Mus musculus: one gene and its partners. The main gene of each other region encodes a partner of the protein of the gene in region 3 in a complex. Links are inferred from orthologs where the notes say so. Each region holds a gene or a part of one and is shown on either strand. Other genes may lie near its edges.

Region 1 (4,261 bases), on a different chromosome or scaffold from region 3:
TTCAGGACCCCATCCCGGGTAATGAGCACATTCGCAGCCTTCATGTCCCTGTGCAGGATCTGAAGGGAGGACACACAAGAGCTCAGTCAGGTTTCATAGCATCCTGGAGCCTGGCCTACACAGCAGTCAAGAGCAGAGAAGCCCCATTCTGCCCCACCTTGTTCCTGTGGATGTAGTAGAGGCCGTTCAGCAGCATCTGCATCACTCTCTTGATCTCAGACAACGTGAACTTGACTAAGACGTTGCTCAGCAGCCCAGCAAGGTCATGCTCACAGAAGTCAAACACCAGATAGATGCTGCCCTTGCAGCGGTTATACGGTGAGGCTGATACAGAAGGGGCAGAGAGAAAAATAAAAAATAAAAACCTGCATCCACCTCATTTTCCACAGCCAACTCCCAGCCCTCCAACCCACAGACACCCAACTCCAAACAAGACCAGAGAAGATGGGGGGCCGGCACTCGGGAGGCAGAGGCAGGTGGACCTCTAAGTGTGAGGCCAGCCTGGTCTATGGCGCAAGGTCCAGGACAGCCAGGGTTACACAGAGAAACCTTGTCTCAAACCCCCCTTTTCTCCTGAGGCAAGCAACACACCTTTGGTCCGACAAATCTCAATTAGGTTCACCACATTCTCATGTTTTAGGAGCTGTAGAATCTTGATTTCCCTCAAGGCTGTGATGGGGAACTAGGGAGGAGAAAGAGGAAGTGGTCAAAATTGAGAGCACAACAGACGGAGGAACTGTGGGTGGGGTGGGGGTGTGTTTGGGGTCTATACTGAGGGACAGAGGTTGAAAGACAGGCGAGAGAATCGTTCCTGTGTGATGGTTCCTATCTGGAATCCAATTCTCGTATCAGGAGACAGAGACATCAGAACCACCAAGTTCAAGGCCAGACTGCTTAGTTGAGCTCCTGATTCAAAAAGAAGGGAGAGGGGAAGATATATCTATATTTATCTGTAGCTAGCCTTTGCAAAATATAAAATAAGTGCAAACACACACATATCTCAAGGAGCTGCTAAATGTTGCCATCTAGATAATGGTGGCCTTGAACTTGTTTATGAACCATCTTTTTTCCCCAGTCTCATAAGTGCTGGGATTATAATCACAACCCTTTACTCCAGACTGGGAATTTATTTTAGACAACCCAAATAAGGATAAACATTTTGTCACTAACACTTGTGAGTTAAGATCAAGAAATTTGTGGGGCAGTGGTGGCGCACGCCTTTAATCCCAGCACTTGGGAGGCAGAGGCAGGTGGATTTCTGAGTTCAAGGCCAGCCTAGTCTACAAAGTGAGTTCCAGGTCAGCCAGGGCTACACAGAGAAACCCTGTCTCAAAAAAACCAAAAAGATCAAGAAATTTCCTGGGAATGGAGATAGTTGAATGGTTAAGGAAACTGGCTATGGTCACGTGTGGCAGTCCAGCCCTTTATTTCCAGCAGTCAGGAAACACAGGCAGTTGATCCTCTGTGAGTCTGAGAACAGCCTGGACCAAACAGTGAGTTCCAGGACAGTTGGGGCTACAGAGAGATTTTGTGTCAAACAAAACATAGAGTCCCTGTTTCAGGGAAACACACACACCACAGCACTGGCTATCCTCCCCCAGGACCCAGGTTCAATTCCCAGCACCCACACAGTGGATCTTTTGTCCCAAATGATCCAAGGCAACCTGGCACACCTTTCTGGCTTCCTCAGGTACCCAGGTACTGGAGAATAGTGCTGTACACAGACATGCCAGAAAACAGAAGACCCTATAGACGCAAAGTAAGACAAACAGCATTTTCCTTACAAAGGCAATGCTGCTGAGGCTGATGGAAACAACACCTTTCAGAACATCACCTTAAGCTCAGCGGCCTTTTAAACGGCTTGTGCACAAATGGTCTCTTCATACAAAACAAAATTCAACGCCAAGCTAAGCTGAAAGTTTTCTAGAGTCAACCTGCACTCCATGGGAAAAGCACAGGCTCCCTCCCGTGGCTCCCACAGAACTCTGCCACTAAAGCTCAACAGTGTAAATGGAAAGCCAAATTCCTTGTTCCATGGAAAACCGAAAAACACTAGGTCGAATCTCAGCACAAAACCCTTTGAAGTAGCGGTGTGGAAACCCAGCCAGGTTAGAAGAAGGTCGGCCCAGTGGTCCATATACTCACCCCCTCCTTCTCATTCTCCATCAACACTTTCTTCAGAGCCACCTTCTGGCCCGTCTGACGGTGCTTGGCTTTAAAGACTTCCCTGCAGGCACAGAGAAAGACCCAAGGGACCCATAAGGCATTTCCGCAGGGAGTGCCCCTCCCCCGCGCGAAGGGGAGCAGCAGGAGCCCAGACCCACGGCGGGCGGGGTGCGGCCTCGGATCCGGGACGCGGTCATTCCACACCGCGTGTCTTCCGTCCTCCTCCCGGCCTCTGCTTACTCCTACTCAGCCCCTACTCCTCCCCTAGAGGTGGCCGCTCACATTCGGAGTGGCTCTCAGCAACCCTACCCAACCCCCATCACGGGCCCCAGGCTCCTCCCCGCCAGTCGGCTCGGTTGGGCCGGGAACGTCTGCGCCGCGGCCGAGCAAGACCGGGCAACAGCCACGAAAACAGAAGCTTCCGGACCACCTCGGCCCGGGCTCTGGGCGACCCGACGTCGGCCCTGGAAAGTGCAGGTCCCGGGCTCGCGGTCCCACGCGGCCTAATCTTACCCGAATGTGCCTTGGCCGATCTTGGCAAGTTTCTCGTACTTGGTGACCTCATCGCAGAACGGGCATTCCACCGAGTCGTACTGCTTGGCCATGGCCACCTCCAGCGCGCCTCCGCCGCCGCCGCCGCCGCCGCCCCCAGCCGCAGCTCCCGCCGCTCCCGGTCCCGCCACACTCCAGGCCCCTCCGCGGCCGCGCCACTTCCGCCTCCACGGCCACTTCCGGCCTCGAGGTGCCGAGCCCGCCTCTTCCGGTCTCCGCCCGCCGCCAGGCCCCCTGGGACTTGTAGTTCCCGGGAGGCCAGGGGGAGCCGGAGCTGCAGAGGAGCCTCCGCCGCCGCCACTGCCCCCGCCTCCGCCGCCGCCGCCAGCGCTGTTGGCGGCCCCGATCGGGGGCGCAGGAAGCCGTGGCGCTGGGGCTGGGGCTCGCGGCGGTGCGTCCCGCTGCATTGGCCCGGGCCGTGCTGCTGCCGAAGCTGCTGCCGCTCTGGCTCCCGATCCGGGGCCAGCCGCAGTGCCCTGCTCCTCCTCCTCCGACGGCGCCGCCTCCGCCGGGCTGCGCGGGGCGGCGGGTGGTGGTGGGGGGAAGGCCTGGGGGCGGAGGCTCCCTGGCCAAGCCCGGCCCGGGGCGGCAGGGCAAGGGGGCGAGATAGGCAGAGCAGACGAGGAGGCGGCCCGAAAGCCCGGGAGGGGGCGCGTTATAAAGGGGGAGGTGCCCGTCCTGGCCTCCCCTCCCCCTCCGCCCACCCCCTCCCTCCTCCTCCCACCCTTCGCAGCCGCACCTGCCGCCGCCGCCTCCCGCCCTCCCGCTCCCAGTCCAGCGTCCGCCCTCGGCGCGTCACTGCTCGCAGCCCCTCCTCTGCCTTTGGAGGTGGGGCTCCGCACTAGACACCTGCCTGCGGCTCCCTCCTGCGTGCCTCAGTTTATCCCCCGAATGCCAGCTGCTACAGAATGGCCCTTCTTCCAGGACCGGGAGTGTGCTCCCGGTGAGGCGAAGGCAGGAGGTGCCGTGGGAGCGGCCTTGAGGCCAGGGGAAGAGAGAACTGCCCCCGCTGCCGCCTCCGTCGTCTCAGCCACCCGCCGTTGACATGGCAACTGACGGCCGCCAGGGGGCGCGGCGACACTGTGGGCGGTGAGCGATCAACGCTCAGGCCTAAACCCTTGGATCTTGTGTTGTCAGGATGGATCTACTACAACCTTCCTTCACAGAGCCGCGCCAAAGCTGGTCTGTCCAGAGTCAATCATCCCCAAAACTGTTAACATTGAGCCGGCACTCCTGATGCTTTTGAAATGGGCGTGAGCCGGGCCTTGATGGCGCACGCCTTTAATCCCAGCACTTGGCAGAGGCAGATGGATTTCTGAGTTCCAGGCCAGCCTGGTCTACAGAGCCAGTTCCAGGACAGCCAGGAAAAACAACAATAACACAGAGAGACAGAGAGGAGAGTCTGAAGTCTGTTCTGTCTTCCTCTACTGTCTTGAAATTCTGAGCTGATCATGGCCGATTTTTCCAGCGTTTACCTCCTGGTCTGTGGTCCTACAAGCTCCCTTCTGTTTCAGTTTCCCAATCCCTCCTGTCTTCAGAGTTG
Region 2 (4,364 bases), on a different chromosome or scaffold from region 3:
GACAAGGCTAGCTGACTGGACTGTGTTCCTCACACTGCTGAGGAACTGCACCTCCGGGGGAATATCTAGACCACAGGTGACTGGAAGAGATCGAGTCCCACTTATGGGAGTTCGGATCAGCCATCCTACCATTTCTGAGCCTTGTTTCCCCACGAGAACAGGTTTCATCTCTCTGGGGCCCCACTCCTCCACATCTTTACCTTGTGCTATGAACAACTGGGCGCACCAGATCTTGGTCTTCCTGGCGCAATGGTTTACAGCTGGGTTTGCCCAACAGGAGGTACTGGCAGAAGCATGGGGGGGGGGGAACATATCAGGTCTCCAGTCCCGCTGTGACTAGCACCCCTGGTTCTGCTCCCACACTTTATAGACAGTGACTGACTATTCATGCACCTTTGCTCAAACCATTCTAATCTGAATTCATCACCTACCCCTGCTAGCATACTGGATTATAAAGGAGTTATCACCAATAACAGATCAGGGACCGCTTTACTACCTGGGACCAGGCACTGGGGCCATAGTTACCATGGCAACTTCATTAGGCAGGAGTCATGGGCTATAATGATTATTTCACAGAAATTATTGCTCCTAATCTACAGTGGAAGCTGTTTAAAAAAAAAATCACTGAGGACACATGAGTATTAGTTGTTACCGAATTCCAAAAGGATGCAGCCTTGGCGATTAGGAACATTGGCTGCTCTTCTAAAGAAACCAGTTTTTAATTCCCAGCAACCACAGAACCCCTGACAACAGTCCCTAATTGCAATTGCAGTTCGAGGAGACCTGATGCTCTCTTCTGGTCTCTGCTCACACACCCATTCGGGGAAAACACTCATACACGTAAATTAAAAGGGAGTTGGGGGCGCTGGATATGGCAGCTCTGGCCTGGTAGGGGCGACAGAGGCAGGCATATCTCTGTGAGCTCCAGGCCAGCCTGGTATACATAATGAGTTCCAAGGCAGTCAAAGCTACATACTGAGATCCTGCCTGAAACCCCGCCCCCACAAAAAAGAAAGAAAGAGGGAGAGAGAGACAGAGAGACAGAGAGAGAGAGAGTGAGTGAGTTGGGCCCTGGCCTTCAGACCAAAAGCCTCAACCTCTGCACTTCTATTACAGTCGCGTTCGTTTTTTTCGTTCTACACCACTTTTGACCACTATTACTATCCTTAAAGGAAAATAAGTTCCCCTCCGACTGTCAGACAGTTAAACCACTTGGTTAAGAGTGACAGTCCGGCCGGGCGTGGTGGCGCACGCCTTTAATCCCAGCACTTGGGCGGCAGAGGCAGGCGGATTTCTGAGTTCGAGGCCAGCCTGGTCTACAAAGTGAGTTCCAGGGCTACACAGAGAAACCCTGTCTCGGAAAAAAAAAAAAAAAAGAGTGACAGTCCGGGGCTGGAGAGATGGCTCCGCCGCCACACCTGATGACCAAGAGTTCAATCCCCGGAACACACATGGTTAAAAGACAACCGTGTCCACGCAGGCATACAAGCACAAGTTTAAAATAAGAAGAAAAAAAAGAGAGAGTAAAAGCTTAAAAAGATAAACACTCTCAGGTGCGGTGGCACCTTGTGCAGGAGCCCCCTCAACGAGCCTCAGTTTCCCGGGGAAACCGGATTAAACACTATTCAATGGAATACTTTAGGGACGCCCTGGGCGCGCACTGAGCCGGGGACGCGGGGACTCACGGTGGCTCACGGCGTCCCGGCGACCTCAGCGGTCTCCATAACCACGGAGGACCGAGGGGGCGGGCCGGGCCTGGGGACCCGAAGGGAGGAAGGGAGCCCGCCGCCGCCACCCAGGCCGGCCAACCTGCTCCTCCAGCCGCTCGATCTCCAGCTGGTTCTTCTCCTCCTCCTCGTCGTACTCCCACTCGTCCTCCCCGGCGGAGCTCTCGGCGGAGGAAGCCATGGCGTCCTCCTCATCCCCATCGCTCCCGCTCGCGCCTTCCCGCTGCAGGTCCCATCCGGGGCCCTTGGCCTCCGCCGCCTCCGCGGCCACAGCGCCGGACAGCACCTTCCGCTGCACACCGGCCGGCTTCGCCTCATCCTCTTCTCCCTCGGCCTCAGGCCCGGCCTGGGGCTCAACCTCCGGCTCGGACGCCGAAGATGCGGCCGTCGTCGCCATCTTGCGCAGCCCGCGACTCTCGGGTCTTCCCTCGCCCGCCGAAGCCCGGCGAGCATCGGGCTGTCCGCGGCGTCTGCCTGATCAAAACTCCGCTCGGCCACCAGCGGGAGCGTCGCGGACGGCCTCAGGGAGCAGGAAGCTGTGGAGAATCCACCGCTGATGCTATCCTTTAGCGCCTCCAGACGCCACCGTCAGAAGAAAAGGCTCACGAGCATAACCTGCGTCCGGCTACAACCGTGGACAGCTGTCGGGTCTTTGGGCCGGAAGTGGCAGCCACAGCTGAAGTGGTGCGTGCGTGATGTCCGTAGTTAAGGTCGAGGCGCCATCTTAGGAAGGTCAAAGTCGTCGCTTTGGACTAAAGACCTTCTGTAAGGCTCGGCCGGCTCCGGTGCGTGGTTGTTTCCCGGCAACCGACCCTCAAGTGCGGACAAGATTGCAGTTCCTCCGCGATCGGATGCACCATCTCATGGGAAAAGTCTCATCTCTCGAATAAAGCTCCCTCCCCTTTGTAACACCTAGTACCTCGTAGTTGTGTTAAACGAGTCGCTTTTGTGGATTTTTATAGTCAATGATAATACATTACAATAAGTATTGATTCGGAATGATGTGCATGGCGGTAAAACAAACGTAGGTGTCGAGGGATGGGGTTCGTTTCTCTTATACCCCTCGTTCTCGAGGTCGGAAAAGCGTTGCTGTTTCCCTCTGCACTGCCTTTCCCCTTCATCAACAAGGTTAACGAGCCAGAAATCGCGTCCGTTTTGCTCCCAGGATTTTTTTTTTTTTTTTTTTTTTAGTGACACCTAGAGTACACTTAATATGCATTTGCTCCATGGGTGAAACGGCTACCTCGGAATTAGTAAAAAAAAAAAAAAAAAAAAAAAAGGAAGAAAGAGAGAGAGAAAGAAAGAAAAGGAACTCCACAGCCTGAACAAAAGTCTACCAGGGACGTATGCATGATCGAATCATAAACACGCCTGAAACCGAGCATCCCCACGCCCATCGCAGCACCAGACAACCTTGCACGCCGCTTCGGACCTTCCCGCTCTGCGCCTGGCCACGCCCCTTCCGAGGGCGCGGTCAGAGGGGGCGTAGCCGGGCCGAGACGCCAGCGCAAGCGCCGAGCTGCGGTGACGTCGAACGGGCGCGCCATCCCTCCGGCGTCGCCGAGGTCGACGCAGCTCAAGCCGGCAGGATGGCGGCGGCCACGGGAGCTGGCCGTCTGAGGCGGGCGGCGTCGGCGCTGCTGCTGCGGAGCCCGCGCCTGCCCGCCCGGGAGCTGTCGGCTCCGGCCAGGCTCTACCACAAGAAGGTATGGGCGGGCGAGGGGGTGCGCGAACCATCGAGGGGACCTGCCGCCGTTGCGCAGATCACCAGCACCGAGGAGCCCCGCGGCCGCCTCTGCCCCGCCGCGGCCGTCACTCCGAGTGTCCCAAGGCTGACAGCCCAGAAGGGAGGGTCCGGGTATGTCGTGCCGGGGGTCAAGGGGCAGCACGCACACACACACACACACACACACACACACACACGCATGCTTGAGCACACTCGACAGCACCAGCGTCCTCCCCAGCTAAGCCATTGCCCTGGCCAGATGGCCTTGATCAAGTCACTGGTCCCCTCCCATCCTTTCTCTCAGACCTGACAGGAGTCTTCTGAAGTCCCCGTACGTGGAGCGCTCGGTCCAACCAAGGGAAACCACTGATGGCGATTTATTTACTCTTTTAGGAGCCGATGGCCTCGAGCTCAGCCAAGCACCTAGCCCAACATTAAAACTTCGGTTCTCAGTTGTGTGTTTATTGGTAGGGAGCAGAAAGTATAGAAGAAGAGTAGTTTGCGGGCCCCCACGCTTTTAGGGACGTTAAAATCCTCTTGACAGGAGACTCACTCCGAAAAACAAGGCTACCGCAGATGTACAAGACACTCCCTCCCCCCCCCCCCAAAGTCCTTGATTAGATGATGCGTTATGGGGGCTCAGGGCTTAGACTCAATCTGCAGATGAGGGTGCCTCCTGGTAACTAGCGGGAGAAAGCTCGGTTATTAAATCTTAGTGTGTCCCTGACTTTAACAGCTGCTTGTTCTGTTCTGGCTTGGGTGCTCTTGCCCAAGGCCTTCTACCCCAAAGGGAAGGTTGTTTTGTTGACATTATAGCTGCAGGACCTTGACGGGCTGGCAGCCTTAAGGCACCAGGGGGCGCTCCTGCCACAGGGTAGCGCTGTGTTTATGTTTACAGCCACCAATGACTC
Region 3 (2,915 bases):
CACTACAGAGTTCTAGGAAACTTAACAACAGGTTTACTGTGAAGAAATGCTATGACACCAAATATGACAACCTTTGTGCTAAGGGATTGCATGTGATTAGAAAACACGTGACATTAATGAGAGTGATTAAAAAAACAGTCCACGTCCCCAAATCAAATCATCACAGACAAAGATGCAAACTAAAAGGTACTTTTCCGTTTGGGAAGGTCAGGATGGAAAACAAAATCTCAACAAATACCAAGCCTAAAGTTAGTAATCATGATGACACATCTATCTTGCACAACACAGGAAATACCAAGAAAGAAATGTTACTTCAAAAGTTACACATCAAGAAATATCACTGGTTTATCAGCAAGGAGCTCCTTGTTGTGCACAGCAACGGCAGGCGCTGCAGACAACTCAAACATGCAGATTAAGAACCACAAAGTCACCGTAAGTAAGACATATTCCTTCCCATACATTCTCTCTCCGTTGGGCCAGTGTGTCAGCACTAGTAACTGCCTCAGTGTCTTTTCTAGTCTGTCCTTGGCAAGCAGCACCCGTACAACTTCTGTTTCCCTATGACTTTTAATGAAAAGATTCTGACTTCTCCCTAAAGACTACTTGGCATGACAGAAGCTTCATTAATTAAAACAAGAGACAAATTATTTTCATAGCACCATCTTATCCATACCCCCCAAAACCCACATATATGTGTGTGTACACATACACACACACACACATATATATGTGTATACATATATACACACACATACACACTCATGCAATGAACCAAATAACAGCAATGATCTGTGGCTAGGTAGCATTTTTCAGTCAGAAAGCTTGGCTTACAATTTTTATCTAGTCAGTATTTTTTCAAGATTTCCTTCATCAAATATATTTACTTCTAATGTCTGGAACAATCAAGGCCCATAACAGGATTCCTGATCCACTTTTTTAAAAGGACTTTAAGAATCTCTGTCTAGAATCAAAAGCCAGCCACTAAGAAATAATCTGAATACAACAGTGTCTGTTGGCTGGGCTTGCTCATGCATTATACCAATGCTGTGAAATTCAAGCTCTGACGCCAAACAGGCTGCACACTGCAGTTGTTTCCCACTAGATAAACTCTTTACATTCATAATGTAACTTAGACACCATGTCTTCAGAATTCCAAATCACAATTTCATTGTCTTTAGTATCTTAACCCCCTGGCTTCTCCCAGTCCTAGTAGCACACATGGTCTGGTCTTTTCAGACAGGACAAGCAAAGCATACCCTTCTTCCCTTCAGAGACCTGAGCTTTCTCGCAAAGCCCAACATGAAAAGACCCCATTCTGTAGGAGAGAGGCCGGCCTTGCTTTATAGGCTTCTTCCTCAAGCCCACCTCCATGCTGCGTTGAAAACACAAAAAGAAGTAACAGGGAAGTTTCCATACTGGCGCAGGAGTCAGGTCAGAACTAGAAGCGAGAGGGCTGCTACCACGCAAGCCTGCGGTGAAGGGAAGAGAGGACTCACACTGTCAATACATGTCTCTTCTTATTGTCAAAGCCAACTATCTCTCTAGTAGAATGCGGAGATGTGAAAATGGTTAAGAATGGGAGGAATAAAGTAACATGATTTTAAACACACGCGCACACGCATGCACACATACACCCACACACACACACACACAAGCACACACGCACTTTTAAAGATCTCAATACTTCAAGAGGCCTGAGCCTATTTCACTCTTGGCCAAGAGCCTACCCTCCCCCCCACCCTGCACACATTCCCACCCTCCCACCCCCCCCCCACCAGTCACTGCTATGTTCCTCATACACACAGCAAAATCCCTTTCCCTCCCGATTATATAAAAAAAACTAAACATAACTTACTTTCTTTAAATTATTTTTTAAAAGTCTCTTAAAGATTTGACGTTTAAATACTTCCTCTCTTCTGATATGTTTAACACCAAAAGCATCCACAACCGCTTGATATGCCCTCCACATTTTAGTTCTGGCAAGAAGAGGGAAGATAACTACTCCAATCAACCTAGTTAGGATGAAGAGAGGCCAAGAGTAGAGTGTGTTCTTCATCCTTCACAGCTTCGACATAATCCCACCTCTCTAATACCAGCACGAACTGTAGATGTGAGGCAGCAGATCGAATAACTGAGGCCCTCCCTCCACCACCCGCCCACTTGTCTCAATAGCAATTTACTCCTTAGGTGACAGATTTCATAAGGGATGTAATTTTCGTAGTCTAATATCAGTAGTCAAAACAAAAAAACAAAACAAAAAAGTGTTTTTTGTTTTTGAAGTTTTTGCCTCTTTTTTTTTTTTTTCTTTTTTTCACTTAGGAAGAGGTGGAAGTGGTGGAGGGGGTTCTGATGGGAGGGGTGGTGGCCGAGGTTTGTCTGTAGTGCCAGATCTGGAGGAGATGGCACCAGCTCTGGGATTCATATATTCACCATAAGAGTGGACAAATTCAAATGCAGGGGCCTGTGTGGGCTGAACCCCCTGGGCACTAAGCAGGGAGTGGAGCATATTCACAGTGTCTTGATAATCTATTGACTGAGTTGCGTTGTGACCATTAGCCCCAGGAGGGCCTTTATCCAGTTTCATATGAGGAACTCGAGTTTTACAGCTAGGCTGTGAAAAGGGCAGGCCACTTGTGTCTGAGCTATGCCCAGGCAACTGGGTCATTGTAGGAAGGGGGGGGAAGGGGAAATTCAAGGAAGATTTAGTACTCTTGGCAATCTTGGCTGGATGATCAAATACTGCTGCCCCAGTCTCTTCCGGGGGACCCCTTTTACGAGTAGAGCTGGAAGAAGACAAAGTACTGGACAAGCTGTAGGTTTTGTGTGCTAAGGTGCTTGTCTGGCTGCTGTGTTTTGGATCACTTGGGCGTTTGCTCACGGGGCCGGCTGGCAGCTGTAAGTGAGAGTGCCTGTGT

Evidence for each region.
Region 1: the proteins of Ccnt1 (region 3) and Cdk9 are in contact, whole or in part, in a crystal structure (PDB 3BLH), measured with the Homo sapiens proteins. The link is inferred for Mus musculus from reciprocal best matches to the Homo sapiens genes CCNT1 and CDK9. Residues at the interface, in NP_001231.2 of Homo sapiens: Arg5, Lys6, Arg11, Trp12, Arg26, Ile72, Gln73, Phe78, Phe89, Leu90, Lys93, Val94, Pro98, Lys99, Lys100, Leu101, Val134, Glu137, Ile139, Leu141, Gln142, Thr143, Gly145, Phe146, Glu147, Leu148, Thr149; in NP_001252.1 of Homo sapiens: Val8, Glu9, Cys10, Pro11, Phe12, Cys13, Lys56, Glu57, Gly58, Phe59, Ile61, Leu64, Ile67, Lys68, Gln71, Leu72, Leu81, Ile82, Glu83, Ile84, Arg86, Ile99.
Region 2: Ccnt1 (region 3) and Sart3 share a complex: the UniProt entries of both Homo sapiens proteins name them as parts of the 7SK snRNP complex. The link is inferred for Mus musculus from reciprocal best matches to the Homo sapiens genes CCNT1 and SART3.

What each region holds. Positions count from the first base shown.
Region 1 is NC_000068.7:32,709,886-32,714,146, forward strand, and holds the start of Cdk9 (cyclin-dependent kinase 9), read right to left. Parts: upstream 2,900-4,261; 5' UTR 2,772-2,899; coding exon 2,680-2,771; intron 2,228-2,679; coding exon 2,146-2,227; intron 907-2,145; exon of another isoform or gene 683-906; coding exon 592-682; intron 325-591; coding exon 158-324; intron 60-157; coding exon 1-59. UniProt on the Homo sapiens protein: Protein kinase involved in the regulation of transcription.
Region 2 is NC_000071.6:113,769,512-113,773,875, forward strand, and holds the start of Sart3 (squamous cell carcinoma antigen recognized by T-cells 3), read right to left. Parts: upstream 2,890-4,364; 5' UTR 2,125-2,889; coding exon 1,810-2,124; exon of another isoform or gene 1,686-1,809; intron 1-1,685. Other genes in the region: Iscu (iron-sulfur cluster assembly enzyme ISCU, mitochondrial), read left to right, coding at 3,074-3,433. UniProt on the Homo sapiens protein: U6 snRNP-binding protein that functions as a recycling factor of the splicing machinery. Promotes the initial reassembly of U4 and U6 snRNPs following their ejection from the spliceosome during its maturation.
Region 3 is NC_000081.6:98,540,900-98,543,814, forward strand, and holds part of Ccnt1 (cyclin-T1), read right to left. Parts: coding exon 2,312-2,915; 3' UTR 1-2,311. UniProt on the Homo sapiens protein: Regulatory subunit of the cyclin-dependent kinase pair (CDK9/cyclin-T1) complex, also called positive transcription elongation factor B (P-TEFb), which facilitates the transition from abortive to productive elongation by phosphorylating the CTD (C-terminal domain) of the large subunit of RNA polymerase II (RNA Pol II).